Linked DNA regions of Pelodiscus sinensis. The protein of the gene in region 3 interacts with the protein of the main gene of each other region in a biochemical or structural test. Links are inferred from orthologs where the notes say so. Each region holds a gene or a part of one and is shown on either strand. Other genes may lie near its edges.

Region 1 (6,878 bases), on a different chromosome or scaffold from region 3:
CATTATAATGATTTTTTTTAAACTATGACATGACAATTGTTGCACAAACCAACATTTTATACAGTAAAACTCCATTTTAAACACACAGCAAATCAGAAGGAAAAGGGAACAAGGCACAGTGTATGGGCCAGAATGTTACCTGTAAGTTTCCTTTGATACAGTCATTTTGTGTTGTATGTTAACAGTATAGAAACAGCCTTGAAGTCATCATGAAAATTTGTTACACAAAACTATCTACGCTTACCAAACAAAATAATTCTGTCTTATGGTTTGCCAATTGATAAGTGTCTATTTGGCTCACGTATGTGGACAAGCATAATTTTGTAATGCTAATTTACTAATATCTCAAACAAGATAATACAACATAAGATATAAAAACTATCATAAGCATGAAATGCATAAGATTCTTTTACAAGTCCACACTTTAACCACGATGAATTTTGGTTACCATAAAAAAAAAATCAAAAGAGCTCCTTTTAATGGGTGTTGCATTCGATAGACTCACTTTTTAGCGAAGCATGTACACTGTGGGCCATCATCATGTTAGCACAGGCACATGTGCAGAAGGTGCCAGAAAAGATTCTGAGAAGTTTTATAAGAACACAGGCCACCACAACTCAGTTGTGTGCCATCTCCCTATTATAACTACGCAGTCAAAGCAGTAATTAATTACAGTTTAAAGAGCTGTCTTCGCTTCTTTATCCAGCAATCGCTTTTATATTTTAGTTCTGGGTTATGAATAACTGAACCATCCAAAGTCCTATCTTATCCAATGGAATACAGCCGGTCCCCAAGTTGCAAATGGTCGACTTACGACTGTTCGCAGTTACGACCAAAACTGTCGTAAATGGCAGACCCTGAGTTAGGAACGCAATCCGCGCTTACGAACAGCGCAGTCACATGTAACTCAATGGGGTCCGACTTACGAACAAACCGAGTTACGACCCACTTGCTTGGTCAGTAACTGGTTCGTAAGTCAGAAAGAGGATATATTTGCATATTTTCTAAACGTAATAGGTATTATCCTACCTATCTATTTTATTATATAATACACACACACACACACACACCCACACCCACCCACCCCCAAAATATATATCTCCCTCCCTCCCTCACTGGGGGGGGGGGGTAAAACTAAAGGACAAATTTGACTTTTGTTTTAAATTGGCTTAAAATGAAGAATTCTAAACAGCTTCATCAATTCACAAGTGAGCTCAACCTTTCTTATGCCAGAACCCCCCGCCCACACCCTTGCCACTCCAGAGAGCACGTCTTCTCTAGTAAATGGCTGAAAGGGACAGACTGTTGCACTGGCTAGGGAGGGAGCTCTCTAGGCAGGGCAGTAGGAGGGACATGAGTACACCCACACCCTCACTACTTCCATCTGCAAGGATCCCCCTGCCGCAGGAACACTCTCCCCCCCACAGACACCCCCAGTGCCCGTGACAGCCTACCAATTCCCCCACACACATACACCAGTGACTGCTGAACAGAGACAGGCACTCAGCCCTCCAAACCCCTGCACACAAACACAGCAACGGGTGGGCCGCACAGACAGCAAGTATCGGACAGACTGACCCACACAGCTTCCCCCGTACACAACAGAGCCAAAGCCTGACAGACAAATGCTACCCAACATGTACAAGTGACTGTGGACAAACACACAATTCCATCCCCCCCAATCGCACACACACATACATCCCATGTGTGGCTGTCCGATAAACATACAGTCCCCTCCGCACACACGCCACAGACAACCCGCCCCCACACACACACCCCCATGTGCCAGCCTGACACACAAAAAACCCCACCCACACATGCATATGCATGCACACACACAGCCTGGGTGCCTGACACCCTCCTCCCCCCCACACACAGCGCCCCAGTGCCAGACCCTCCCCCCCACACACAGCGCCCCGGTGCCAGACCCTCCCCCACACAGACAAACCCAGGGTGTCGGACTGCCCCTCCCACACACACACACTAGGTGCCGGACTGCCCCCCTCTCTCCCCACACACACCCCAGATGCTGCCCCCCCCACACACACACACAAACACAGACCAGGTACTGGCCCCCCACACACACCCCTTATGTCGGCCCCACACACACACGTGGACATGGACACCCCCCCCCTCCGCGTTCCAGCCCCCACACACACCCCGTGTGCCCCCCCCACACATCCCTTGTGTTGGCCCCACACACACCCACCCCCCGGACGCGCAGCCCCCGGACCGACCGGCGGCCCCGCCCCGCGACACGCGCTGGCGCGGCCGCTCCCCGCGCACTCACCGGCCGCAGCGCCCCACCGAGCCCCGCGCGCAGCGAGGCGGCACCGCGGCTCCAGAGAGGGCGGAGCCGCCGGGAGCCGGCGAGGGCGGGACACACCACAGCCCCGGCCCCGCCCGCCCCATTCACAAAAACCCCCGGCCCCGCCGCGCCCCGCGCTGACTGGCCGCGCCGGGGGTCAGTCACCTCGCCACCCGCCCCCGGCACCCCTTCGTCCGCCCTTATTGGCGAGCACTCGCGGGCCCGCCCTCCCCGCGCTGCCGCCCAATCGCAGCAGAGCGTGACCCTTCAAGCGGCTCAAATGCACCCGCCACTGCGGAAAGTACGCCCCCCATTGGTGCTCCGACCTGCCCATCAAACCCTGGTCCGGAACCCTCCGCGGTTCTTCGCTCCGGCCAGGGAGAAAAATAGCCGTGCGCGGCCCATCCCTTTAAGGGTCCGGCGGCCGCGAGCCGCCTCCGCAGAGCGAAAAAGCAGGCGGACAAAAATACCCGCAGCCTTAAAGGGGCCGCGCCGCGCCTGCCGCCTCCCCACGGGCGCGGCCCCCGGCGGAGCGGCGCGCGGAGCCGGTACTGACCTGTGCGGCGGCGGCGGGCGCCCGGGGCGGTGGCGGCGGCGAGCCACGGGGAGGGCCCGGCGCGGGGCGGACACAGCGGCGCGCGCGCCACCAACGGACTCAGCCCGTGATGGGATCCGCCATTTTGGAATTTTTAGATGGAAAGTCACGTGGTGCGACCATGTTTTCCCTGCACCAATCAGGAAGCGGCGGCTATTTATAGCACCTTCCCCCCCCCCCCCGCTTCCCCCTCCCATGAGGCACGAGGGGGGATGGGCCGCGGAGCCGGGCGGCGCGCGCGATGCGGGGGCGGGGCCGTAGAGAAACCGCCTTGTCCCCCCCGGCTCCCCACATCGCCCCCCCTCCCAAAACCCCTCCCGACATCAGCCCCTCCCAACCCCCTCCCCACATCGCCCCCTCCCGAAACCCCTCCCCACATCAGCCCCCCAACCCCCTCCCCACATCGCCCCCTCCCAAAACCCCTCCCCACATCAGCCCCCCAACCCCCTCCCCACATCGCCCCCCTCCCAAAACCCCTCCCCACATCAGCCCCCCAACCCCCTCCCCACATCGCCCCCCTCCCAAAACCCCTCCCCACATCAGCCCCCCAACCCCCTCCCCACATTGCCCCCTCCCAAAACCCCTCCCCACATCAGCCCCCCAACCTCCTCCCCACATCGCCCCCCTCCCAAAACCCCTCCCGACATTAGCCCCTCCCAACCCCCTCCCAAAACCCCTCCCGACATCAGCCCCCCCAACCTCCTCCCCACATCGCCCCCCTCCCAAAACCCCTCCCGACATTAGCCCCTCCCAACCCCCTCCCAAAACCCCTCCCGACATCAGCCCCCCCAACCTCCTCCCCACATCGCCCCCCCTCCCAAAACCCCTCCCGACATCAGCCCCCCCAACCTCCTCCCCACATCGCCCCCCCTCCCAAAACCCCTCCCGACATTAGCCCCTCCCAACCCCCTCCCAAAACCCCTCCCGACATCAGCCCCCCAACCTCCTCCCCACATCGCCCCCCCTCCCAAAACCCCTCCCGACATCAGCCCCCCCAACCCCCTCCCCACATCAGCGCCCCCATCCCAAGGCCCCTCCCTACATCAGCCCCCCCGCTCCTCCAGCCCTCCCCCCAAATCCCCTCCCCACATCAGCGCCCCCCCTCCCAAGGCCCCTCCCTACATCAGCCCCCCCGCTCCTCCAGCCCTCCCCCCAACCCCCTCCCCACATCAGCGCCCCCATCCCAAGGCCCCTCCCTACATCAGCCCCCCCGCTCCTCCAGCCCTCCCCCCAAATCCCCTCCCCACATCAGCACCCCTGCTCCTCCGGCCCCTCCCCACATCAGCACCCCCCTTCCAAGCCTCCTCCCCACATCAGCCAACCTGCTCCTCCATTCCCCTCCCCACATCAGCCCCCCGCTCCTCCAGCCCCCTCCCTACATCAGCCCCCCTCCGTGTTCCTCCCCACATCAGTTCCCCCCCCCCGTTCCCACATCCCTCTCTGCACATCAGCCCCCGTTCCCCTCCTGCTCCCATCCCCCTCCCCACATCAGCCCCCCCCTTGGCACCCTGCCCCCCCCAGAACTGGATCCTTCTCGCACCAGCTCCTGCTCCCACCTCATCTCCCCACATCACTCCTACTCCCACTGCCCCCCCCCCCGCACCAGCCTCTGTTTTGTCCCTTCCCACAACATGTTCCCCACCATCCCATCCATCCTGCACTAACTCCTGCATGCCCTCCCATCCCTGTGCCACCATTCCTTCCTCTTCCTGGTGCCTCATCCCTCCCACATAGCTCTTGGCACTCCGGAGTCCAAACAGCTGTTTGCCATAGGTCCCACTACCCTGTCCCCTTTAACTAGTGGTTGTCCCAAACCCCACATAGGATGTTGCAGACTATCATGGCCCTTAAGAGTCAGGAAGAGTGGCCCTTTCCCTCGCATGTCTCCTGGATGCGAGTAGCTGGACAACCTCTCACATCTACAGGAGGCTTCCAAAGATGGATGCTGTTCCTCCTCAATCCTCCAAGGAGTGTGTACTAACTAGTCTTTGAACTCCAACAGCTCAAAGATCATGAGTCAAGCCTTCCTTCCCACATCAACAGAATTTGCTTAAAAATCCTGAGATTTTTTTAAATGTTTGGTCATTTTCTGTACCTTCTGATTTCACATTGTCAGAGTTTGCACGGTCATGCGTCTCTGAAAATCACAAGGGCTTGCAACATGCTCCTTAAATGAAAGCTGAGACTGTCACACCACGGGACGCTAGGCATTGAGGTTTTTAAGAAAACCCACTATCACGACTCTTGATAACACTGCAAGAATTGACAGCGCTGTAGAAAAGTCCTTGTTTTTGCCCCAACCCACTGGAGCTCAGGCAGAGCTTGGCAGGAATTTTTGGCAGGATTCGCCACATGAAAGCAAGGAATCCCTAAGACAGCTCCCCCCACACACGCACACATGCACCCCATTCTCTGCCTACCAGACTGGGTGGGGTGGTGGGACTACAGGATTCTGTCCTGCAGGGAGCTGGGGGTGGAAGAGTTTTAGCCCTGTGCCCAGGCATGCACCACCTGGTGGGGCAGATTGAGTATGTCTTGTGGCTCTTGAACTTCAAAAAATTATTGGCTGAAGCTTAGAGGGTAAGTTAAGCCACTCCTGTACTTTCTGTTCAAAGCAGGGGCTGAGCTCCTTTGCCCCTCAGCTTACACAGGAGGTCTTCTGGCAGGCTCTCCCTCATCCAACTCCAGATCCACCTCCACTCACTGGTGGATGGGGGGGAAATGCGTGTGTGTGCAATAAGCACAGCAAGGGCTCGGGATGACGTCAGCGAGGCTGCAGAGGGGGCATGGCTGAGGGAAGGCTGAATGTGATGGAGTGCAGAGAAGGCGCATGTGGAATGTGAGGGGGTGTGGAATGGGGTTGAAGTTTGAGTTAGCTGAGCCTTTATGAAGGTGAATTGGGCAGTGGGGGAGTATAAAGTCAGTGCAAGTGGGGTGGATGTGCACAGGAAGCACCGGCATGTGTGGCACCTGTTTGAGTTGAATTTTCATGCCAGTTTGGCTATTCCTGTCCCTAAACAATGTCATCTGTGTGCCTAGAGCCCTGCCAATGGCAACCTTTAACAACCTCCCCCCCCCCAAAACTCCTCCTCTTCCACATACACATGCCAATTCTGACTCAAAGACCTGGCTTACACTACCATGGGAGATCCATCTAAGTTATGCAGCTTCGGCTACACGAATAAAGTAGCGGAAGTCAATGTACTTAGCTCTACTGACCGCAGTATCGTCACTGCGCCGTGTCAACTGGACGCACTCTGCATAAGGCGGAAGCCCCTTTTTGTTTCCTTTCTAGTTTATATTGGCAGGGGGGGTGGATTGTTTGCTCATTTTCTTTAGTTGGTGAAATTTTGGGTTTGGTTCTGAGCTAGTTCTGGGCCAAGTTGCATCAGTGTGCATTTTACTTTTTTGTGTGTTAATTGCTAAGAGACGGGGACAAGGCTCAGATTCTGAAAGATATGTAGGTGCCTAAATACTTTGGAGGATCTGGACCTAAGTAACTTAGGTGTTACAGTTTATTAATAGCTGGTAGAACAATTCACAGAATAAGATTTGGAGGTGCTTTAAGTTCCTGTATGGGTCTGATTGAGCTGTGATCAATGCAGGACCAAGGTTGATTTACGTCCACTTTAGTGGCTCCATTTTAGGGTTCAGTTGGGAGGTGTTTTGGTCACTAGCATAATTAGAGCAGGCTCACTGCCCTAAAAGGGGTCATTCCAGCATCTGAACATAACTGGAGCCTTGATACACTGCCTGTATCCCATTTCTTCTGGATATTTCCCCTTGTGCTTGGAGCTGAAGGCTGGGACCTAGGCTCTGACTAGCTCTACTTCTGAAGGAATTCCCAACTGGCCAGATTTGCTAGCTTCACGGTCTTTTTGCAGTGCTGGAGTACCACACAAAGGTGACAGCAGAAAAGAGAATTGTACCCTAGAAGATGCCTTATAGTATAGCTATTGTCTTCAAGATTTGATG
Region 2 (7,970 bases), on a different chromosome or scaffold from region 3:
ACACAGCCCTGCCAGCACCTGGGATTTCCCTGCCTGCCTTGCAACCAGCCACTGTTTTCTGAAAGGAGATGCGTGAACGCAGGAGCCTCTCCGCCTTCATTTACCTTGATAGTTCTCTGCTCCTTGTGGTGGCCAAGAGAAGCTTGAAAAAATGAAGCCCCAAAAGGCAGAAAAACTGGAAGTCAAATAATAAGAACCCAACGTTTAAAAAAAAAGAAAAGTTTGGGAGATTTATTATGCCCATCTGGTGATTTCTGAGCTTTTGGGACTAACAAGCATTTCATTCGGCAGACCCAGAAGGGATTCCTGTGACCCTCTGGGCCAAGACCCCATATCACACAGGCCACAGGACTTCCTTTCATTAATTTCTGTCTAAATTAGAGAAACAAAGCAAGAGTCATGTCCATCTGCATTCTAACCCATTGACTACCTTCTCCTCCCAAGGCAAGGGCTAGAACCCAGGAGTCCTGCCTACCAATCCCCCCCAGCTCAAACCACTCGACCAAAGTCCCTTCTCAATGCTGTGTATGGAACTGTATGTTCATCTTGGCATTAACCCCTTCCTGCCCATGCCCCCATTCAGACTATAAGGTCCTTTGAGCAGGCCTATCTTTTATGGTGAGAGGGTCCAGCTGTCAGCACAATGAGGCTCTGATCCCAACTGAGATCTCTATAACCCTTCTCCTCCTCCAAGGCAGGAGTGACTGAATCTGGAGGCTCACACCTTATCCAAGGTACAGAGCTAGCAAGAAGGGAGCTCAGAGAAGAGAAGCAAAATAACGAAGGGTGCGGCCTCACAGCTGAAAGAGTTAAACAACAGGCAGACAGAAATAGTAATACTCCGCAGACATCCGAAAGGGTGTAAGCACACAGGGAGGGAGGGATTTGTCACTACGCAAGGAGGACAGGAATGCAGGGGGGAAAAAACGAGGATGAATACTAGGAAATATTTCCCGGCAGCCAGCTATGTGAGGGAAGGAGAGGGGAGCCCTGTCATCTATTCCCACATGCCCTGGATGGCACTTGACCAGTCTCTCAACTCTAACCTCTATGATCCCATGGGGGTCACCAGACTGCCTACTGCACCATGCGTACCTGCTCACAGGCCAGGTTCAGCTCTCAGCCACACCTGCATCAATGCACAGCAATGCTGCCAAAGTCAATGGTGTTAGTCCTGATTTACACCAGCGTGGCTGAGAGCAAAGTCTGGCTCCCCACTGGCAGCACAGAGATATGCTGGTCCTGGCATGCTGATCTGAAAGGAACACAGACAACCCATTAGCAAACCTATTTTCCCAGAGGAATGCCTTTCCTATCATGGCCCCATTTTGCAATTTCACCTGCAAGAATAACAAGGCACAGATGGAGAAGGAAAGAAGGGAGAGCAGGTCCGGGAGTAAATCCTACCCCTCCCATCATCCCGCACCGGAGAAACAATCTGGCTCCAAAAGCAAAAGGGAAAAGAGCCCCAAGACCAGCACTTGCTACTGCACCTTATCCCCTAGCAGAGTAGGTCTGGCACCGAGCAAACAAAAATCATCACCCATCAGGGAGCTGGGAGCGCTGCAGTATTTCAGATGGTCCTCCTCCAAAAGATGCAAGTAGGAAGGATCAATTATTTAAGGGCAACTGCCGCTTCTCAGGACCCTTTTCATTCCCCCCGCATGCGCACTCCCTCTGCCTAGGTATTTATAGCACACGGCTAGCGTGCAAGACAAGGCATCAGCAAACCTTTGTCTCCCAGGCAATAACAGACACACATTTTCCTTCTCCCACCACTCCCAGGCCAGCTAGAGATGGGAAAAGAAGCACCAAGCCCTCTAGCAAGAAGGTCAAGAGACAAGATTTTGATTCAAAACAAGGGGCAGGAGGAGGGCATTCATGCATCTGAACAAGCTTTGCATCCTCTTGATCTCCCATGCAGGCATCACGGGGTGCACAAAGTTTAAGCTCCTACAAGGCAGGTTTCCAGACAAAGGGATCTAAGGATGGAGGCAGGCCTCCCTCCCCACTCCCGCCCACTAGCCTGAAGAAGCTGCAACTGCCAGGCACAAGAGGATGCAGAGGAGGTGGAAAAGCATGCATTCCCTTGTGGAGTTCCAGAATGACCCCCTCTTTAAAGGCCCAGAGGAAAAACCAGCCTGTGTTGGTCCTCCCTTACCCCCAGCACCTCTGCCCATCGACAGCCACATGCCACTCTTTGCTTCCAAGAAGTGGCTTTTCCTCAGCCCAGGCTAGTGAGGTGTGATGGGCACACACCCCGTCTCACAGCCCCAGGCGCATCCTCCCAGCCCGACCTACCCCAGACATACACACAGCCCAAACTGGAGCTCAGCCAGTCCTGAGCACCATCTGCACTGGAGGCAGGATCCCCCCACCCCACCATGCGGACAGCGCTGCCGTTTCATAACCAGCGCTCTGTGTCACAGGCACAGCCTCTGCTCCCCTGCCTTGGCCCCCACCCACAACCCGTTCCCCGCAAGAGGAGGAGAGTCTCGGGCAGGTGCATTAGCAAACACCCCCAAGGGTGCCAATGCAGCAGCCAGCCCCAGTAACCCACCCATGTCTCAGCGCTCCCTGCCGGCCAATATCCTGCCCCAGAGCCCGCAGCCGGGCAAGTGACCTGGACCAGGCTGGCTGCCCCGTTCTCTCTGTGGCAGGTGCAATCCCGTTCGAAAGGGGGCTTCGCCCTGCACCCCTGCCCGGGGCCCGGGCCGAGCCGGCTGCCCTTCCCCGGCGCTGGCATGGGGCAGGCGCTGGAGCCGCTCGCCCTGTGTCCCCTGGGGGCGGCCCCCCCCTTACCTGCTACCCAGGCCGGTGGGCGGCTGCAGCGGGGCCCCGCCTGGCTGGGTGCCCTGGCCAGCCCCTCCGCGCCAGGGATCCGGCTGCCCGCGGCTTCACCGCCAGCGCCTCCGCTCCTCCATCTTTGCAGCTGGCTCTGCGCGCAGCCCGCTCCGCGCCCCACCACCAACAACAACATTCGGTGACGTCACTCCCCGTCACGTGACGGAACCCTGGGCTAAAAATAGCCTGCCTGCTCCGCTCCTTCCCCCTCCTTTGCCTGGTCCCCCGAGGGCGGGGCCTCCAAGAAGGAAGGCGCGTCACCCACGCGGCCTTAAAGGGCCAGCGGAAGATGGGGGGGGGGTGCAAGCCCAGCTGGGCCCGGCTAGCGGGACGCCCTTAGGGCCAGCGGAAGATGAGGGTGCAAGCCCAGCTGGGCCCGGCTAGTGGGGCGCCCGTGGGGCCACTGGAAGATTGGGGGGGTGCAAGCCCAGCTGGGCCCGGCTAGCGGGACGCCCTTAGGGCCAGCGGAAGATGGGGGTGCAAGCCCAGCTGGGCCCGGCTAGTGGGGCGCCCTTAGGGCCAGCGGAAGATGAGGGTGCAAGCCCAGCTGGGCCCGGCTAGTGGGGCGCCCGTGGGGCCACTGGAAGATGGGGGGGGTGCAAGCCCAGCTGGGCCCGGCTAGCGGGACGCCCTTAGGGCCAGCGGAAGATGGGGGTGCAAGCCCAGCTGGGCCCGGCTAGCGGGACGCCCTTAGGGCCAGCGGAAGATGGGGGTGCAAGCCCAGCTGGGCCCGGCTAGCGGGACGCCCTTAGGGCCAGCGGAAGATGGGGGTGCAAGCCCAGCTGGGCCCGGCTAGCGGGACGCCCTTAGGGCCAGCGGAAGATGGGGGTGCAAGCCCAGCTGGGCCCGGCTAGCGGGACGCTCTTAGGGCCAGCGGAAGATGGGGGTGCAAGCCCAGCTGGGCCCGGCTAGCGGGACGCCCTTAGGGCCAGCGGAAGATGAGGGTGCAAGCCCAGCTGGGCCCGGCTAGCGGGACGCCCTTAGGGCCAGCGGAAGATGAGGGTGCAAGCCCAGCTGGGCCCGGCTAGCGGGACGCCCTTAGGGCCAGCGGAAGATAGGGGTGCAAGCCCAGCTGGGCCCTGCTAGCGCGGCGCCCGTGGGGCCAGTGGAAGATTGGGGGGGTGCAAGCCCAGCTGGGCCCGGCTAGCGGGACGCCCTTAGGGCCAGCGGAAGATGGGGGTGCAAGCCCAGCTGGGCCCTGCTAGTAGGGCGCCCCTTGGGGACACATTGAAGTTTCACAGCCTAATGCTCCACAGTTAGCAACATGTCTCACAAAGTTCCCCCAGGGCAACCTTTGTGCTGCCTGATCCCCAAACATGCACGCAGCATTCACCACTCAGGCCTGGATGCATTCTTTTATCCCTATTGCTTTTCTGCCTCAGCCCATATGCAATCCCCCCCCAAACCTCACACGGGCACAACACGGTCCGTGTGTGTTTCTATGCACCTCTCGCAGCAGTTAGCCGAGCATGCCACAGATGCTCATGAATGTAGACCCAGTCAGAGGGCCCATAATCCCCATTTTACAGATGGGAAACTGAGGCACAGAGAGACAACAACCAGGCTGCGTCTAGACTGGCATTATTTTGCGCAAATACTTTTAACAGAGTATGTGCAAATTTCATTTTTGTAGAGGCCAAAGCCTGGCACATTTTCACAGAGCTGGTGAAAGGCACAGCCCTGACTCCAGCCTGATCCTCCTGCCAAATTTCACTACAGCTTCTTGAATAGCTGTAAGAGGTCTTTTAACATGAACAAACCCATTTGTTTTCCCCTCATCTTATTCTGGGAAATGTCTGAACTGTTTTAGGTGAAACTTTACAAAAATATTCAGCTTGAGGTCAATAACCTGGCATAGAAAACATTGGTACAGCCCTGCACATATACAAATGTCTACTCACGGATGTGGATATCCATGGATAGACATCGGGATCCACAGATCAGCAGGGTTCTACCCCCAAGAGACACTTTGGCCAATGAAGAGGAGCGTGGTCCCATCACACCAGAGAGACAGTGCCCCATGTCAGCATCTCTGTGATGGGATGCAGTCACAGAAGACTCCTTGGGAGGGTTTCCCAGCGTGCTGACAAGACCACTGCCACTTGCCTTCCTGCCATCTAGCTTCTTACCACTCTGTCCTGCTGGGCCAGCTCCTGGTCTCCCCCAGCCAAGGACCAGAGCTGAGATCACTGCTCCTTCTTCCCCCGAGAAGCAGTACTAACACTAAAACTCTTCTGCTGCATCTAGACTGGCAAGTTTTTTCGCAAAAGCAATGGCTTTTGCACAAACACTTGCCAGCTGTCTACACTGGCCGCTTGATTTTGCGCAAAAGCACTGACGTTCTACTGTCCAAAATCAGTGCTTCTTGCGCAAATGCTTCAGGCAAAAGCCCTTTTCCGGAAATGTTTTTGTGCAAGAGGGCCAGTGTAGACAGCTAAAAACTGTTTTGTGCAAAAAAGCCCCGATGGCGAAAATGGCGATTGGGGCTTTCTTGCGCAAAACCGCATCTAGATTGGCACAGACGCTTTTCCGCAAAAAGTGCTTTTGTGGAAAAGCGTCCATGCCAATCTAGACGCTCTTTTCCGCAAATGCTTTTAACGGAAAAACTTTTCCATTAAAGGCATTTGCGGAAAATCATGCCAGTCTAGACATAGCCTTGAGGTCCAAGGAAATGGAGTTTGGGGCCCAGCTTCCCAGGATACCACTCCCCAAATGGGATCAGAACTCCAAAGGAATTATTTAGGTGAATCCCCTTTAACAATGAAAGGGGGAATGTACACACTGGCTACCCCCAGGCAACAATTATTTAAACTAGGCTTGATAGTAAATAAAAGTGATTTTATTAAGTACAAGCAGTAGGATTTAAGAGGCAATAATTGAGAAAGGGCAGAGCAAAGTAGATTACAAACTTAAAATAACAGAAAACTCTTAGCTAATTCTAACACTAAAACCCCGGTACAAACTCATTACAAACTCACTCTAAAACTGTTCCTTTCCTAGTAAGCCTTCAAACCAGGGCAGCTCCTCACCCTGGGGTCTTTGGGTCCTTGCCTTGGGTGTGGAATGCCAGCCAGCCAAAAACAAAGACCCGCTAGTTTCCTATTGTTTTAAAGATTCCCATTTTTGCATGAGAAGTTACCTGACCAGTCCCTACAGCTATGTCTAGACTGCAGAGTTTATCCTGGAAAAACTCTGCCGCGTCCAGGGAATGTGTTCACATTTTCGGAACAGTTTCTGAAAACGTGGGCATGTTCTGTCAGCATCTCTGTATTCCTCATTTTATGAGGAATAAGGAATGTTCCGAAAGAGGAAGTTTTTCCGACTTTTGGTCCTGTGTAGATGGGCCAAATGTCGGAAAAGCCTCTTCCAAAAAACAAGCGGAAAAAGATACGCAAATTTCAGTTCGCAATTTGCGTATCTTTTTCCAAAAAAACCCAGCAGTGTAGACACAGGCTACTAGTTAGGGAGGTCATGTGACTTCCTAAGACAAACCCCTGCTAAGACTTAAGGACAAAAGGCAACTTACATATGACTGCCCAGACACTGAAGCATCCCAGCATTGGAAACACTCTTGATGGCTTTCCTTTGCACATTTAAAACCATAAAGAATCCCATACTCCATGCATCTAGTTTTACACACAAGAATGATACATACACCAGAATAAGATAAAGAGATCCAGTGGATTATGACATGAAGATTGATAGGTTTGTCATGATCATGAGGGTTAGCCAGCAGCCTGGGAACTAAGGGGTTAACCTTACCTAAGTCAGGTGCATTCAGCCAATAGGAATGCAGGTAGGAATTTCAAACTGGGACAAAGGAATTTTTGGTTTTTCTCTCTTTTTGTTCTGGGAGTTTCTCTACAGCTATTGAAGGGAACAGGATGTCTCCCACTAAGAAAATACTCTTCACGTCTGTAAGTAGGATAAAGTTTAGATAAATCTGTTAGGTTTTATTGTTTTATGGTTTGGGAAATGGGATCTGATGTCTGTGCATTTAAAAATGGGTTTGCTCTCCTTTGTAACTAAGTTCCTGGCCCGTGGTAGATTTCTCCTCCATTAGTATATTATTTTGCTACTTTTCCATCTAGTCATTATGCTTGCAACAGGAATATTGTGGTGATAATAAAAGTTTTTTCTCTTTTATTTTTATTAACCTGGTATGGATTAATTTTTGTGTCCTAGTTTGTACTTTAGGGATGAGATTTCCCAAGTGATCTCTCCCCTGATTTTTGTATCAATACTTGGGTGGTGGCAGCGGAATTTTTATCCCCAAAATCTAGGTTAAGATTTTGGGGGGAAGTTTTATACCAAAGCCTGGTAGATAAGGTTTTGGGGTACTTTTGCTGGCCCCCACTTCTGCATTTATCGTGCCAGAGTGGGGAAGGAGCCATGACAAGGTTACATGAGTTAATTTGTCCGAAGCATCTTTGAGTCATGTATATTGGTGTTCATAAAGCCATTTCATAAAGCACGGGGAAGGGTCCATCACAATCTCCTCCTGGTTGGGTGACTGTACCGTTCCTCCTGGTCACCAGCAGGGCTGTACATCCCCAGACGGGAGACACCGCAGCTGGGGGCAGAACAACTGTGCTGCCAGCATGGTGCATTGGCTCCTGTGCACACCAGGACCTCGCTTCTCTCCATTGGCTGCAGTGTCTCTTTGGAGTAGCTCCCTGCTGATCTGCAGATCCCGAGGTCTATCTACGGATATCTACATCCATGGGTAGACATTAGTATCTGTGCAGGGCTCTAAATCTCGGTCCCACCCGTTAAAATTTGGCACAAGTTATAAGCAACCAGGAACGGGGTTTTAAAATGGAAAATGGTAGGCAACCTTAACTACAGGGCAGCACTTTCAGTCCCCTGGAGGAGGGAGGGAAGGGCCTGACATGTTTGCACATGCGTGTCCGTGTCCTCCACCTCCAGGCCCTGCGGAGGCTCCTATATGATGCAGGTAGTCCAGCATGGAGCATGCTGGCACCTGCTTTCCTTCACCACTTCCGAAGGTTCCGATATGACCAGCAGCTCCTTTATATGAGAGGTCTTTTGCGAAACCTCTCTGAGCTGCCGGCCTTCTACCAGGACCTCCTCTGGACCTGGAAGCTGCTTGCGGTGACCAGGTC
Region 3 (7,209 bases):
AGCGGAGGGGCCCTGGCGGACACTTTCCCCGCACGAGCCCCCCACATGGACCGGCGCTGCAAAACTAAAGCCATCAACCAAAATCAGGGCGCTCCCCCGACCCCCGGCTCACCCACCCCGGCCCCGAAAGGAGCCTCCTCTCTCGGAACGCATCGGGGCGGCCGAACCGCTCCCCCCTCCCCCCGCAAGCAGCAAATAAATAACGGGGGGGGGGGGGTTACATGTTTCTCTCCGCCGGAACATCACAACAACCGCTGCGCTTCCTCCTGCCAGCGCCCCCCCGACCCACAGCCCCCCCCCCGCCCATTGCAACCCCCCCCCGCCCATTGCAACCCCCCCCCCCGTGTCCCCTCGCCCCCACCTTCCCCCGAGGGAGAACCGGCCAGGCGCAGCGCTGACAGGCGAGCCCGCGTATCTCCGCGCATCGCTCCTGCCCGGGCATCCGAGCGAGCAGCCCCCCGACACCCCCGCCCCGCGGAGCAAGTTGCTGCAAGCCGCCCCCCTCGGCACTCACGGGCTAGTGCATGGCAGGCGCCTCCCCGCCGCCGTGCGGGACCGGGGCTGGCTAGGGCAGCCGCGGCGGCATGTGGCAGTTCGCAGTGCCCGCTCTCATCCTGCCCCGCTGCTCTCTGCTCGCAGGTTAGCAAATCAACACCGCGCGGACTGACGCGCCGGCTGGCGCCCCGCGTCAGGGCCGCTCCCACCCCGGCGAAGCCCGGGCCGGGCACCATCTTTACTGCTGGCACGGGGCTGGTGCCCACACCGCTCTCCCGCACCCGGCTCCCGCCCCGAGCCTCCCGCCAGGCTCTGCCCCCCACCCCCTCCCTCCGCGGCGCGCCCTGGCTGCCGGGGGGTCTCCGCTTCCCAGGCGCGGGGAGCCGCCCGCCTGACCCGGGGAGATGCTGGAGCGGAAAACTTCCCACGCCTCCCGGGCCAGGAGGTTCTCCAAGGGGGGCACCCACCCTGGGAGCGCAGCGGGACTCGGGACGCTCCAGGGACCCCGCTGGCGCCTCTGGAGCTGGAGTGGGAACGGGAGCGAGTCCCGGCCCTTCCACACTGCGCTGGGGGGGGGTACTAACAGGTTCACACCTGGCAGCAGGGGAGGGAAGAGTTACCCCCCCCCCCCCCACGCCGGACCCCTCAGGGCGCCAGCTCGGGAGAAGCGATTTTCGGGCACCTCGAGCATCCTCCGGACTGAGTCCCTGCCTCGCGCCAGGCAGCTGTGTCGAGGTCCCGGTCTGGCGCCGCCCGTTCCCACGCGGCTGGCGGGGGCAGGAGGCTCGGGGCCCCAGCGCTATCGCTGCACGGCGGGACGGGTAGGCTGGGCTGGGGCTCGCGCAAGGCGCAGGACACCGGGCTCCGAGCGTAAAGACGCGCAAAGCTCCGGCCCGCGGCAGGACCCGGCCAGAGCTCCGAGCCATCCGAATTAGACTCCGGATTGGGAGGGAGACGGGTGGGAACGAGCTTCGCCGAGCATCCCTCCTTCGCCAGCCCATGAGCCCGCCCGGCCTTGGCCCGGCCTCCACAAGGCAGCGGCGCTAGGACACGCTCCAAGCGTCGCTCAGCTCGTCCTGCCCAGGGCGGGGGAGCTGCAAACGGGCCGAGGCCCCGATCCTGCTGAGTCGGGGCCGCTCCCGGGGGCAGAAGCAGCCGCGCTGAGGGGGGGGGGGGGGAAGCTGCGGGTACTAAGTAGCCAGGGGGCACCCCGCGTAGCCAGGGGCGAGCCGCTCTGCAGGAGCGCGGGGGGAGGGGTGCAGCAAGAGGAAAGCGGGGGTCTGTTGTAGCCCCGTCGCTTCCCGGGTTGCTCCGCCAAGCCCCGGGCAGAGGCGAGCAGCCCCCAGGAGTTGGGGGCGGGGGGAGAGGGGAAAAACCCTTGGTCCCGCTCCTGCCCCAGCCCAAGGGAAGTCACCGAAAAGTTGCATGGAGGGGAGGGGGGGAGCGCGGGGTTGGCCCGGCGGCCGGCTTTGGGGACCGGCCGCAGGGGCTGGGGAGGGAGGGGGCGCGGATCCCGCGGGCTGCTGGACAGCGCTTGGCTCCGCTGGCCTCTGCCAACAACAAACATGGAGGAGCAGGAGGCTGCCTTGGGGAATCAATGAACCGGAGCCAATGCCTGCGACCCGGCTCGGAGCGGCCCCGCGGGGATCGGAGCGCGCCGGGCCAGCACCTGCTGCACCCTGCGCGCCAGCCGGCCTGGGCCGGGGGGACGGGGCGGGCGAGGGGCGCTAGGGGAGCAGCGCGCAGACCGTGTCCCCAGCGGGTCTGGGTGGTGGGGCTCGGGAGGGGTCGTTCGCCCCCAGCCCAGCCCCTCCGCCGGCTGCGTCCCGGCACCTGCCTGAGAGCCAGCCCCCGCCTCCCCGCGATCGCCTTCGCCTCCCCCTCGCCTCTGCCCCGCAGGGGATCCACGCACCCGGCTGGGCCCCTGACCGCCCCGCGGCTCGTTCAGGGCGGGAGCCAAGGGGCTCAGCCACCCACCCGCCCGCGGAGCCGGGTTCCAATTCGCCCCCGGCCAACGCGGCACCCGCTTCGGAGCTCAGGCTCCCAGTCCTTCCCCCCGGTGCACACACGCTCCGCTTTCAGGAACGCACCCCAGCGCCGGGGCTGCAGCAGCGAGGGGGGTAAGACCCCCGCGTGCTCATCATGAAATCCGTACATCGGAAAAGAACCCCGCCTAACCAGCGTGCGGGTGTCGCTGGCTGAGCCACGCTACACAAGAGACGTTTTCAACTTGTTGAACTTCTAATGTGACAACTGCGTCGAGGCGAGCGATAAGGCGGCGGTGCGGACGTCTGCTGCCAGCCTCGCTCACCATGGCTTTAACTCGCGGCAGGCTCGCCCTAGGAAGCATCCGATCTTCCCCAGCGGAGAAATACACAATTAACCCCCGATCCTAATCTTCAATTAGGCCTCAGGCCGGAGAAAGCCACTTGAAACAAGACAAAGCCAGACGAGCCCCCAGATTCCTGGTACAAAAAAAAAAAAATCTCCCTTGCTTAATAAACTCAGCGCTTTGAACGCCCAGCCTCTTGCTAGCAAGTGTTGCAGGGAGAAGGGTGCCTGAGTTTGAGAGATGGAGAAAGTAACAAAGACAAGCCATGGGCATGGTGCCAAATTTTGGCTGGAAAGTGCCAAATATTAGGTACCCGCCAGTTTGATATGGGCTGTTTTGCCCAGATAAAGACACTATTCCAAACAAGCACCGTGTATAGAAAGGGCAGGAACTGATGACGTGAGTTGCAACTTACAACTCAGGAAAGTTGTAAATTGTAAACGCTAGTAACTTGAACAATTCAATTCACTCTTTTTTCCTCTTTTTTTTCTCCCTTCCCCCTTATTTATTCTTGGATCTGGACTTCTAATACTCCAGTCACCTGAAGAAGTGTGTTGTACCCACAAAACCTCATGATACCATCTACCCATTTTGTTAGTTGCCAAGGTGCTGCTAGACTATTCATTGTTTTTTAAGTTTTTCCAGTTAGGGACTAATTCAGCTATCCCTCAGAAGCTTATAATAAAATGGTTCTTCTTTAAGCTGCCACAGGACTCCTTGTTGTATAAGAATGGCAGTGAAACTCCAGGGACAAAGATTTGCTGCAAAAAAAAATCTTTTTTTTTAATAGAAAGAGAGAAATGAACAGCATAATATCATTATCTCACAGACACTAACCGTCTCCCCTTGCCCCCGCCCCTCTGTTCTAAAATCTGATTTGTCAATTTTATATGTGTTCACTTTTTTTTATTGTATCACTTTGGTATATATGGTCGTGCCAATTTTCTTCCACAAATTGATCTGAGGAAGTGGGTCTGGCCCACGAAAGCTCATCATCTAATAAACCATCTTGTTAGTCATTAAAGTGCTACATTGTCCTGTCTTTTGTTTCAACCAAACTTCTTGTTCATAATGCTACTCTTTGGAATGGAGATATAGGAATAGTGCAATTCATAAACTCCAGAATAGTAGGGTGCCAAAGTTCAACACATTTTAAAAGCCAGGCCTCCTTATATAAAAGGGGAGAGTGCCTGAAATAAATGAGACAAGATTCGTTTCCAGGGGACATCAAAATATTGCTCAGTAATGGGAATGCTTCCTTCTCCCTTTGCATGGTACAAGTAGTGTGGGACCCAATATTGTCTGCTAAAATAGCAAGTAAGAATAGTATTAGTACAAAGATACCCTGAGGGATAAAGCAGTGTGAATGTAATCTAAAGAGAATGTTATAGGAAGTGTGTTTATAATTATAATGGGATTTAATGTACTTTGGGACCAGATGATAGCAGTCATTTAACAAGAACAGCCTAATAACAGAGGCCCTATAATGAAAGAGACAGCACTGAGGGTTATTACATAAGCATTACAGTGTGGCATTCTCAGTAGCATAGTTAAAGATAAGGCATCAACTAAACCCCATATTTCAGGGGTTATAACTCTGCCATTTTACCTGGCAGCAAAATGAAATTTCACTTGCTGGCTGCCAGTCTGCATGCATATGACCCCCTCTCCCTTTTAAATTCCTTAAATCTGCACAGCCATTGCGTCTTTTGTTTTGCTTTGTAAAGTAGAAAAAAATCCATGGTGGAGGGAGAGGAGCAGTTGCAGGTGTCTGTTTATCCTGCTCTAACTTTTAAGAGGCTTGATTTCAGAACTGAAATTTCGCAGACAGCTAGGGGTACATTTCTAGTGTAGCTTGCATGAAATTAAGCCGCATGAGTCCCATTAGCAATAATAGATCTCCCAGGGCTACATTCCCAGGCAGCATGCTGAAAATTACCCCCCTCCCTCCCCAGTCCTTCCTGGGAACTGGTGCATTTCACTTTTCTTTTTTAAAAAATAATGTAAAAGCTATTGAGTTGTTTAAAAGACTTAATTCCTATCACTGTTTTTCAAAGGATACTGGATTGATGACCCTACAAATGACGTTCTCATTCATCTGCAGACTAGGTATAGCTCAGACCACAGTGCACTTAAATACTCCCCCAGTGTCAAGCTGTGCCTTAATAGTTCTATTACATTGGTTCTCCAGTCAGGACCAAGTCCTGATTGTCCAGTCAGGACCAAGCCCTCATGCTAGTAGATGTTGTACAAATACACATTTAAACATGGTCGTTGTTCCATAGCTCTGACCGTGCAAACACATATGCACATGCATACGCTTTACTCGCCTGACTAGTTCCCCTTGACTAGTAACTGCAAAGGGACTAGTTATTTAACTTCATGAATGCGCATTCTTATTTTCATCATCTGTACTGCAGTAGAGTCTAAGGTCCTTTGGTACTAGATGCCATACGAACACAGAAGATAGTACCTGGCCAAGAACATACAATCTAATAAGTAACTGTTAGATCTTTCCCTTGGGAATTAGCTTGCACATTCCCTGGGAGGGGACTTTTCAGTGGGGGGTGAAAAGAAAGTTCTGATTCGGTCCCAAGTTTCTTTGCTGAAGCTGTCAATAAAGGCAACAAATTGGTGAATGATGTCAATGGTGAGAGCAACTTTTCTGTGGGCACCTGGTTCAAACCCTTTTCCACATGGACTCCTGAACAGTCTGACAGTCTAACATCACCTTGCATGCCATGCACTTCTTTCCGTGGTTATATCATGCATGGAGGCTCTTCAAGGCACTTTCTTTGCCTACAGACGTTTCGTCTCCATGTTGCCTGCAAAAGACATCACCAGATAGAGTGGGACAGAAAACTGGAGTGAAATTTGTTTTCTCTTCCCCCATCAGAATGCATTGAAATAGAAGCATTCTGCTGAGACTGTTTGGTTCTGACAAAGTGGAACATAGGGGCCTGTTTTTATGCCTGAATGCTGAGGAGCCATGTGGATGAACTGCCTTCGAGCTGTGTATCCCATGGCTGGGCATCCAGGGTCCATGGCACCAACCCCTTCCAGAGAATCTCCATTTTTGCTTTCATTCCAAATTGGAACAAAGTCTAGTTGCCAAATGTCACCCCCCAGCCCGCCCACCCTTCCCAAACTAGAACCATCTTTCACAGCTTGGGTTAGGAAATATCTAGCTGGCAAACTCTTTGGTGGCATTGATTGTCTCTCACCATTTCTGTCTCAGCACTAGCAGACCTCCAGACCGCCCTGGGATATAGACAATATGTCAGGTCTGTGCATTACAGTCTCTTGCGGGCTCCATTCAGCTGAAATTCGATTTACACGGTCACCACATCTGAAGACGTCTTTGGAATTAGCCAACTCGGTAACAGAGTCTGATCCTGATCCAAACCGTGCACTCCCTCACATCTGCATCTGTCAGCTCTACCTCTCTCTCCCCGTCTACCCACAACCCTTTTCCTGTCCACCCCCGACACACACTCAGTGCTGTGAGCCATCACAGTAAAGGTTGCTGTGTTCACTACCCATATTTTGGCCTCCTGGTGTATGCAAATAGTGTAAAGAAACCACTTATTGCTTGAAGCCATGGACCATACTAAAAATTTAAACCAATATTTATCAATACGTTAGCTTTGTTCTAACAGCCTGGTCAATAACATCTGTCGCTTGACAAGAACAAGAACAACAGAGTTCTCCTCAGAAAACAGTCCGTCTGCCTTCAGAATGTACATCCTCCTCCACACACATAGACTGAGTTCCAGAGCTGACATACCTTAGAGATCAGTGACCATAAAGGAAGTGAAAAGCAGAGCAATTCTGAAAGGTATGAAATAAGGAAGATGGAAAAAAAGAAAGAAAAAGATTTGCTTTTGACCTTCAAGTCAGCCCCTTGTCCTTCAGCAAGGCCATATATACAGTATGCAGAGAAAATGTTAGAATAGCAGATTCAACCACCAGTAACCCTCCTCTTGCCTCCCTCTCACCCCCCAGGTTCTTGTTTTAATTAAGATAAAGGTTTATTTTCTCCTCCAAATCAAGTCAAATACAAGACTTGGAAGTTCTGACCCCCATAAGCAAAAGAAGCTTCAGGAGGTAGCCAAGTTAGTCTGTATGGCTACGTCTAGACTGGCATGATTTTCCGGAAATGCTTTTAACGGAAAAGTTTTCCGTTAAAAGCATTTTCAGAAAAGAGCGTCTAGATTGGCACGGATGCTTTTCCGCAAAAGCACTTTTTGCAGAAATGCATCCGTGCCAATCTAGACGTGCTTTTCCGCAAAAAAGCCCCGATCGCCATTTTCGCGATCAGGGCTTTTTTGTGGAAAACAAATCTCAGCTGTCTACACTGGCCCTTTTGCCCGAATGGGAGC
Region 4 (7,948 bases), on a different chromosome or scaffold from region 3:
GCAAGAAGATTTACAGTACGACGTGGGAAGAGAGGGCTTCTTGCGCAAGAGCTATGCTCTTTTTTTACAAGTGTAAGACTTCTTGCGCAACAGCTCTTGTGCAAGAGGGCAGTGTGGCCGCGTGGCAGGTGTTTCTTGTGCAAGAAAGCCCTATGGCTAAAATGGCCATCGGAGCTTTCTTGCGCAAGAGAGCATCCACACTGCCATGGATGCTCTTGCGCGAAAGCACATCTCGCACATGGCAGTGTGGATGTGTTCTTGCACAAGACTTCTTGCACAAGAACCCTTGCACAAGATGTTCTTGCACAAGAACCCACCAGTGTAGACGTAGCCTCTGTGTTTTCAATCTGCTTTTTTTCAGTGGCTCTGGAACACCTAGTAACCAAGTCTGCTTTACGAAATACACTGCTTTTATGAACAAAACACCGGTTTAAGGCTGTGAGCCGATCCCTGTGTCCTAGAAGGCAGGAGGTTCTGTGTGCACATGCCTGAGACCGAAAGGTGAACTATGAAGAAATTACAGGTTGGGTGTTTTTCAAGCTCTCTGTGCAGGGAAGTTAGAGAGCTTGGGGGTGCCCCACAGGAAGTAATTCCCAGGGAGGTGACGGCGGGTTAAGGGAGAGGGGAGGGGATTTCCGTGCAGACTTTTTGAGTCCCGGTTTGCTGCTGGGCTCCCTGGATGCGGGTGGAACACTTGAGATGTTTTGGCAAATTATCAGCCCTTCCAATCTCTCCGTCCTTGCCCAGCCTGGCGCGGAACCGCGGAGACTCCGAGCCCCAGCATGCAATGCTGCTTTGGACTCTGACCAGCGCAAGCAGGTGCGGACTACACGTGAGGAGCAGCAGCAAGCGTTCGCACACAGAGACCAGGATTGACCCAGGGTCTCGGGAGCAGAGCGGCAGAGCCATGCCCAGCAAATCAAAGGGGCAGCTCCTTTGTGTCCCACGCTGTGTCCTGTGCCAGGGCAGGCAGCCCGAACACCTGCCCCCAACCCCACCGGTCAAAGATGTCACACGCTCCACTGGGATTTCACCGGAGCGGTGCAGCAAGCCACTGGGGAAAGAGCCTCCGCAGACGCAGTTACATAACATGGGAAATCAACATGCAGAGCCTTTGGGCCAAGCCAGTGCAGAGCTGCTGGAACGGGAGTGCGGTGATGAAATAGGCTTTTCTGCGTTGTAGGCGCTGGCTGCCAGTCTGTATGCCCTGATGTGGCGAGGAGGGACCGGAAGGAACAGCACTCAACAAACAAACCATTACAACGCTCAAGTCTGGGCAAGACACAGGGCGTGGACGGGAGTTGCCAAATCCGGTTGTATTCCTTAGAGACGACGACAGCAACTGTAGGGCTTCGTAGTCACACTCTTAATGGGCCTCTCTGCACCGAAACTGACACCCAGGTTTGGGGCCTGGGAATTCCAGGAACAAGCCGAGGGGTCAGGGAATGACTCAGGACAATGCAAAGCAGCTCTGCTTCCCCAGCGCTTAGCCTCTGCAGGGTTCACTGATAAGCCTCCCAGAATGGGATCTAGGCCAAACGCAGGGTCTGGCACCAGCACCCATGGCTGGACCATACACATTTGGGGTCATCCACAGACAGTGATCCTGGGTACGTGTCGGGCACAGTGGAAGCAGCCAAAAGGGAGGGGGCTGGACATGGAAGGAGCCATGAACATGGGGTGTCAATATGGACAGCCCTCTGGAAGGGCTCTTCATCCAGGCATGGAGCTGGGGACAGGAGTTTGGTCCCTGGGCAAGAAGGATCACCACTATTTCTCCAGTGGGAGCCACTTGCCCAGGGAGTTTGTGGGGCCTCAGGGGCAAAAGTCGCTGGAGTCCTGTTCCATTGACTCGGTGACGTCATGTGAGCCAAGCGCCCACTGCGCACTTCATACAAACTGCAGAGACCCCCAGGCAGGGGCGACCCGGGCTCGGGGAAGAATTCTCTGCCGCAGGAGCAGCTCAGAGCCAACATGGGGCCCGGGGGCAGGGCTGTGTCTGAAGGCTGAAGGGGAGGTACCCATTGAGGGCTTTGGAGATTCTGCAGCCGGTCCCTGGGGCTAATTGTGCTCCCGCAGTGCAGGGGTGGTGTAAAACCCGCTTTGTCCTGCCCCCGACTGTGCTTCTCGGGAAGCGTGGCAGGAAGACTGCCGTTCTGGGGTCCTGTCTACACTACGGGAGAAAGTCGAACTAAGGTTCACAACTCCGCTCCGAGAACAGTCGAATTTCCGCGGCATCCCCACTGCAGGAGGACGATGGGCGAAATTCTCCCATCAAGATCCCTTACTCCTCGCAGCCTGGTGGAGAACTGGAGTTAACGAGTGCACCGTCAGCGGTTGATTTAGCGGGTTCTTACGAGACCCCCAAAATCGAACCCAGGAGATGGATCTCTGGCGTGTGGATCTCGGGAGACATGAGGACGAGCCCCGAGTCTATGAACATGACATTTGCAATGGCAAGAAAAACACCAACGTCAACATGCTCAGGGGAAGATGGGAAATGCCGGAGTGGATCAGACCATGGTCCTTCTAGTCCAGATCCTGTCTCTAGCGATGGCTGGTGCAAGAGGCCTCAGTGGAAGGTGCAGGAACCTGGCAGATGTAGAATAATTTGACCCCCGATTAGGTCTCATAGTTAGCGATTGCCTGAGGCACGAGGTTTTATCGTCCTTTTCTAGACCATTCGGTATTTTAGAAACTTTTATCACAACCTCTCCTGTTGGTGCCACTCTAAGGTAACAGTCCCTAGCTTTTCAAACTCCGCACAGGAGAGTTTTTCCAGGCCTGAGTCAGACTTGTGGGGATTTTCTGACCCTCCTCTAATTCTGCAGAATCTTTCTGAGCTGGGACGATCCGACCTGCACCCAGTATCTAGACGAGGCTGCACCGCTGGTTTACATAAAGTCATGAGTCTCCCTAGTTCTCTATCCCATTCTCTCTGCTATCGAATGTCTTGCAGCTGCCCAGCGAACAGAGGCTCCCACTGAGCTGCCGACAGTGGTCCCCAGGCTGCATGGGCGAAGCAGCCGCCTGTAGAGCTAGCCATCTCGCTGCTCTGCACAATTAACAACATTGTGACTCGCCATTAACACCATTCTGTGCTTTGCTAACATCTTTTCATGCAAAGATCTCACAGCGCTTTACTGGGACTAACAGTTTAAGCCTCACGACAGTCTTTTGGGGATTGATTTGTGCATTCATCTCCTTTACCCACCAGTGAACTGCAGTGCCTTCTTGGGTAGAGAACCACAGCTGTCTGACCACTAACAGAAACAATTCCTATCAGGAAGTGAACAAACACCAAGATCCTGCTGCTCTATTATCCCCACCCCTTGTGGAGTCATTCGTATTGGTGGAAAGGGAGTGCAAACAGGGTATAAAATCCAATCCGATTGGTAGCTGGGGCTGGGCCAAGCTAAATACCAAAGTTGGGCAGTAATTTCTTTGATCACCCAAGCCAAGGTTTTATATGCATCATACATAAGATGACACTTGTAACCGAACAGCACCTGGGAGCCCCACACTGGGGCATGGCTCAGAACTGACTGGGAAGAAGGCTGCTGCTACCTACAGAATCAGCACCATCAGCCACACAAAGTGTCTTTGGAGTTCGCCTGCTCCGGAGAGCAGATCGGATCAAGTAAACGATGCTGCGGCATTCCTCTCCCTGGCTGGCTCGGTCACCCTGGTGAATGCCATTACTTCCCATTTAGCAATCCTGAATTTCATCAGCCATTTTGTTGCCCTGACACCCTGTTTTGTGAGATCCCTTTGTAGCTCCTTGCAGCCTGCTTTGGACCTATCGATCCTCTGTCATTTGTATTGTCTGCAAATTTTGCTGCTTCACCGTTGACCCTTTTTTCCAAATTGTGTATGAATACGCTGGCCAGCACCAGTCCCGTACAGATCACCGAGGGACACCGCTAGAGACCTCTCTGCATTGTGCAAACTGACCATTTATCCCTACCCTTTGTTTTCTGTCTTTTAACCAGTTACTGATCCAGGAGAGGACTTTCCCTCTGACCCCAAGACAGCTTCCTTTGCTTAAGAGCCTCTGGGGGGGAACCCTCCCACAGTCTGAGTACACTATATCCATTGGCTTATCCTTGGCCACATATTTGTTGGGCTGCTAAAAAAATTCTCATGGCTTGGTGAGGCAGGCTTTCCCTTTAAAAAAAAATAGATGAGTCTTCCTCCAAAATAGTGTGTTCACCCATGTGCCTGATCAGTCTGATCTTTACTCTCCTTTCAACCAGTTTGCCTGCTCCTGAAGTTAGGCTCACTCGCCTGCAATTGTCAGATGGATTCTGGTGCCTTTTTAACAAAAATCCCTCTCACACCAGATACCTCCAGTCCCCGGTCCAGAGGCTGGCGTAAGGCACAGGCGAGATACCAGCGCCACTATTTCATCAAGTGTGTATTTCAGCCCTTTCCAAATACCACCTGGTCCTGGTGACTGATCGCTGTTCGGTTTGTCATTGACTGGGTCGGTTCCCCCATGCCTCACCAAACAAGAGAGGCTCCGGGGGATCCCCTTCCTGCCATCCTGGGGGGGAAGAACACAGAATTGAGTTTCTCGAGAGTCCCTTTGGCACCCGCTCTCCAGGGGCCTCTCCACTGTTTGTGGCGCAGGCGCCCTGCTGATGGAATTGGTTTAGTCTCTAGGGTGCTAGGACCCAGGGTGGGTTTTATTGTGTTAAGTTACAGACTAACCGCCCCCCCCCGCCCCCCCGTGTTGCGTCTTTCGCTACTTGCCCTTCGCCTTCTTTCCTGGCCTGATTAGTCTTTGACACTTGCAGAGTGTCCCCCCCCCAGGAAACCCGCTGCCTCCCCAGCGCCAGCTCACTAGGGAATTCCCCTCCCAGCCCCGGCCCGGCCAGCCGTGGGCGTGACAGCAGCCGGGCCCCACCCTCCAGCCTCTACCCCCCGCGCGGGCCGGGGCCGGGCCCAGAGCGCTCTTGCGGCGAGCGGACACGTGTGCGCCCGGGCCGAGCAGAGCCGCCTGGCGCCTGACGCGAGCTCCCGGGGCGATCTCAGGGCCGAGCCCCGCGCCGGGCAGGGCAGCGACATGCAGCGGCTGCTCCTGGCTCTCGGCGTCCTGCTGGCGGCAGGTGAGGAGCGGGGCGAGCGGCGGCTGCGCGCAAAGTTTGTTCCCGACCGGGCCGGGGCGCGCCGGGCGCTGGCCCCGCCGCAGCCCGGTCCCCGGCCGGTGCCCACGGTCCCGGCGGGCGGGAGGCTGCGCTTGCGTAACGGGCCGGGCCGGGCCCCGCGGGAGCCGTTCGCAGCCGGCGGCGGGGCGCGCACCAGAAATGCCCGGGCCGGGGCGAGGTGCCCGGCGCTGTCCGCTCAGCAGCGCTTCTCTCCCTCCGCAGGACGCTCCGCAGCGGCGCCCGGAGCCGCGCTCGAGGTGCTGCGGGGTCCGGGCTCCAGCGAGGCGAGCGGCGGCCGGTCCGTGGCCCCAGAGCTCCGCAGCGGGCAGGGGCTGGAGGAGGAGCGCGCCCCGGACGGCGGCAGGGTCTCGTCGGGGGATTATTTCCTGGAGCTCCCGAGAGGTGCGTGTGTGCGGGCGCGGGACGGGCAGAGCCAGGTGGCCTCCCTGCGGGCGGGCGGGGCAGCCGGGCCGGATCCGGGGGTGGGGGCCTGAGCGTCATGGACCCCACCTTGCTCTGGGCGCCGGGCTCCCTACGCGGGGAGGGACCCGCTGGCCCCCGGGGAGGGAGTCGGACGTAGCCGAATTCACAAGCAGGTGCCTCGCTTCCCGCGTGTCCCGGGACTCCGCCGGCTCCCCGCGCTGCTGTGGAGTTGGGGGGGGGGGGGCTCGCACGGGGGCCTGGCTTGGGAGATCGGGGCGGGGCGGGGCCGGGCCGGGGGCAGGGGGAAAGTCTTGTAAGTCTGGGCTCTGCCCGAGCAGGAGCGGCCCCGAGGGTAGCCGGGGGGCCGAGCTGAGGCTTTGCCTAATGTGGCACTGCCCTGCCGGTGGGAATTGGCGGGGGAGGGAGCCAGGCCAGCACGTTCCCACGGAAATTCCTGCTCCCTTGCTTTGTGCGGCTCGGTTGTTTTTAGCAGTTCCTGGGCGCTGGCTCTTTGCCGTCCTGTGCCCCGGGAGTGCCCTGCCCCTGCCCCTGCCTGGCCCCCGCTACATTCCCGGTGACCCCCCAGCCCAGCACCGCCTCTCCCGTCCCCCTGCCGGGCTGCCTCAGAGGGCCCTGCTTGCCCACCCCCAGTGCGTCCCCCGCCCCGCCAGCTGTTCTGAACAGCCCTGGGGTGGGAGGAGACTGCAGGGGCTCCCCCTCCCCAGGCCCTGACTGACCTGGGGGCAGCAAGGGGGAGCATGTGAAGTCTCTTGCTCCCTGCCCCACCCTGCAAGGGGGCACTGGGCTTAGAGTCACCCCCCAGGCGCAGCTGGTGACCAACTTCCACTGCTGAGCCTCTGGCAGGGCGGGAGGAGACTGGGGGTCCCCCCAAGCCCTGATCGACCGGAGGGGGGGGAGTGTGCGATGTCTCCTCCTGCCCTGCCCCCGTCCTGTGGCGCTTCTTAGCAGCGTGCGCCCCGTCTAGGACGGGAGCAGGGCGGGAGGAGGCTTCGCATGCTCCCCCAGGCTCCGATTGGCCAGGGGGCGAGGGGGGGAGCACGAAGTCTCTCGCTTGCTGCCCTCAGGTGTGTGGGGCTGTCGACCGCCAGGGCGGACTCAAAGCGCTGCCGGGGCCCTAGGCTCTGATTGGCCGGGGGAGTGGGGGAGCGGCAGGGCCTCCGTGGGCTGGATGAAACTGATTGGTGGGCCCGCGGAGGCCGTTTTGCCCCCTATGCCCTGGGGCCCCTTCCCAGGCCCAGCACTCAGTCCCTGGCCACGGGCAGCCATTGGTAACGTGTAATGGCTTGAAAACCCGGGGTCCCATGGGCGCTGCGCACCCCTCCTGGGAGTCTGTGCCAGGCGTGGGCTTCCCGCCTCGGCAGGATGGTCCCCAGGTCCCCACAGGAAGGTCTGGGACTCCGCGTGGCTCCATGCAGCTGAGAGCATTGCATGCCACCCCTCTGAGCGGTCACCCCGGGAGTCACTCCCTGCCGCCCACACCCCTCCGATCAGCCGGGGGTTAGTCACTGAGCGGGGGGCATTCGGGTCCGGCGTCGCCCTGCTGGGCTCTGCCCATTCGTGTCTGGGGTCTCTGGGTGGCCACTCCCCTTGAATCCAGCAGCAGAGGGGGCGGCAGCGTGGTCGGGGGCAGGCTTTGAACAGAGACACGCTCGGACCTGGTGCTCCCAGTGTGACCCCACTGAGGTCACTCACTGCGCCCACGCAGGCCGCCTGCCTGCCGCGCCCTGACACTTTTCCTCCTTCCCCGCCTTGTCATGGTTCCTCTCCAGCTCTGACGTGGGCCCAGCTTTGCAAAACCAGGCTAATCTATTGCACCACAGGGGCTGGGCTGGAGAGACTCATCCCCTCTCCCGGCCTGTCCTCATCGCCAGCCTTGCCCCTCACTTCTCCTTTCCTGCCCATTCTCTTCTCACCGCCGGCTCTCACAGCCCCCAGCCCTCCGTCCGGAGGCAGCCCCAGAGATGTCTCGTTAGGAGGGGCGCTTGGATACGACCCCCGCACCCCCTATGCTCTCTAGGAGAGCGCTTCTCGGGGGCGGGGGTTGCACCCACTGGGGAAGGGAAGGGAGGGTCCTCAGGAGCAGTCGCTGACAGAGGGCACACCTGGCGCCCCGCATGGCCTGGCCCCCCCTGGGCATTTTCTCTCGCTAAATGACGTGGGTTGGTCGGTGCCGCCCTTGGCGCCAACCAAGAGGATTGTGACACTAGTTGAGGAAGGGTGGCCCGGGGGGATGGGTTGACACACACAGCTGGAGGGCGTCCTCTGTTCCTCCCTGGCCTTGGACGCCTCCCTCAACCCCCCTCTTCCTCGTGCCTCTCGCCGCTGCGTCATGCCCAGCGGAAGGCAGCTGGCCG

What was found.
Region 1: the proteins of ZBTB16 (region 3) and HDAC4 form a complex in vitro, tested with the Homo sapiens proteins (2 studies listed by BioGRID). The link is inferred for Pelodiscus sinensis from reciprocal best matches to the Homo sapiens genes ZBTB16 and HDAC4.
Region 2: the proteins of ZBTB16 (region 3) and HDAC5 form a complex in vitro, tested with the Homo sapiens proteins (2 studies listed by BioGRID). The link is inferred for Pelodiscus sinensis from reciprocal best matches to the Homo sapiens genes ZBTB16 and HDAC5.
Region 4: the proteins of ZBTB16 (region 3) and HBEGF form a complex in vitro, tested with the Homo sapiens proteins (2 studies listed by BioGRID). The link is inferred for Pelodiscus sinensis from reciprocal best matches to the Homo sapiens genes ZBTB16 and HBEGF.

The regions. Positions count from the first base shown.
Region 1 is NC_134717.1:63,920,791-63,927,668, reverse strand, and holds the start of HDAC4 (histone deacetylase 4), read right to left. Parts: upstream 3,014-6,878; 5' UTR 2,865-3,013; intron 2,857-2,864; exon of another isoform or gene 2,635-2,856; intron 2,443-2,634; exon of another isoform or gene 2,291-2,442; intron 1-2,290. UniProt on the Homo sapiens protein: Responsible for the deacetylation of lysine residues on the N-terminal part of the core histones (H2A, H2B, H3 and H4).
Region 2 is NW_027466028.1:523,644-531,613, forward strand, and holds the start of HDAC5 (histone deacetylase 5), read right to left. Parts: upstream 3,009-7,970; 5' UTR 2,981-3,008; coding exon 2,803-2,980; intron 1,256-2,802; exon of another isoform or gene 1,096-1,255; intron 1-1,095. UniProt on the Homo sapiens protein: Responsible for the deacetylation of lysine residues on the N-terminal part of the core histones (H2A, H2B, H3 and H4).
Region 3 is NC_134736.1:3,729,173-3,736,381, reverse strand, and holds the start of ZBTB16 (zinc finger and BTB domain-containing protein 16), read right to left. Parts: upstream 3,001-7,209; 5' UTR 2,807-3,000; intron 1,319-2,806; exon of another isoform or gene 1,178-1,318; intron 1,115-1,177; exon of another isoform or gene 1,090-1,114; intron 986-1,089; exon of another isoform or gene 963-985; intron 657-962; exon of another isoform or gene 515-656; intron 481-514; exon of another isoform or gene 362-480; intron 176-361; exon of another isoform or gene 117-175; intron 94-116; exon of another isoform or gene 1-93. UniProt on the Homo sapiens protein: Acts as a transcriptional repressor. Transcriptional repression may be mediated through recruitment of histone deacetylases to target promoters. May play a role in myeloid maturation and in the development and/or maintenance of other differentiated tissues.
Region 4 is NC_134727.1:2,131,927-2,139,874, forward strand, and holds the start of HBEGF (proheparin-binding EGF-like growth factor), read left to right. Parts: upstream 1-4,940; 5' UTR 4,941-5,068; coding exon 5,069-5,111; intron 5,112-5,372; coding exon 5,373-5,552; intron 5,553-7,948. UniProt on the Homo sapiens protein: Growth factor that mediates its effects via EGFR, ERBB2 and ERBB4. Required for normal cardiac valve formation and normal heart function. Promotes smooth muscle cell proliferation. May be involved in macrophage-mediated cellular proliferation.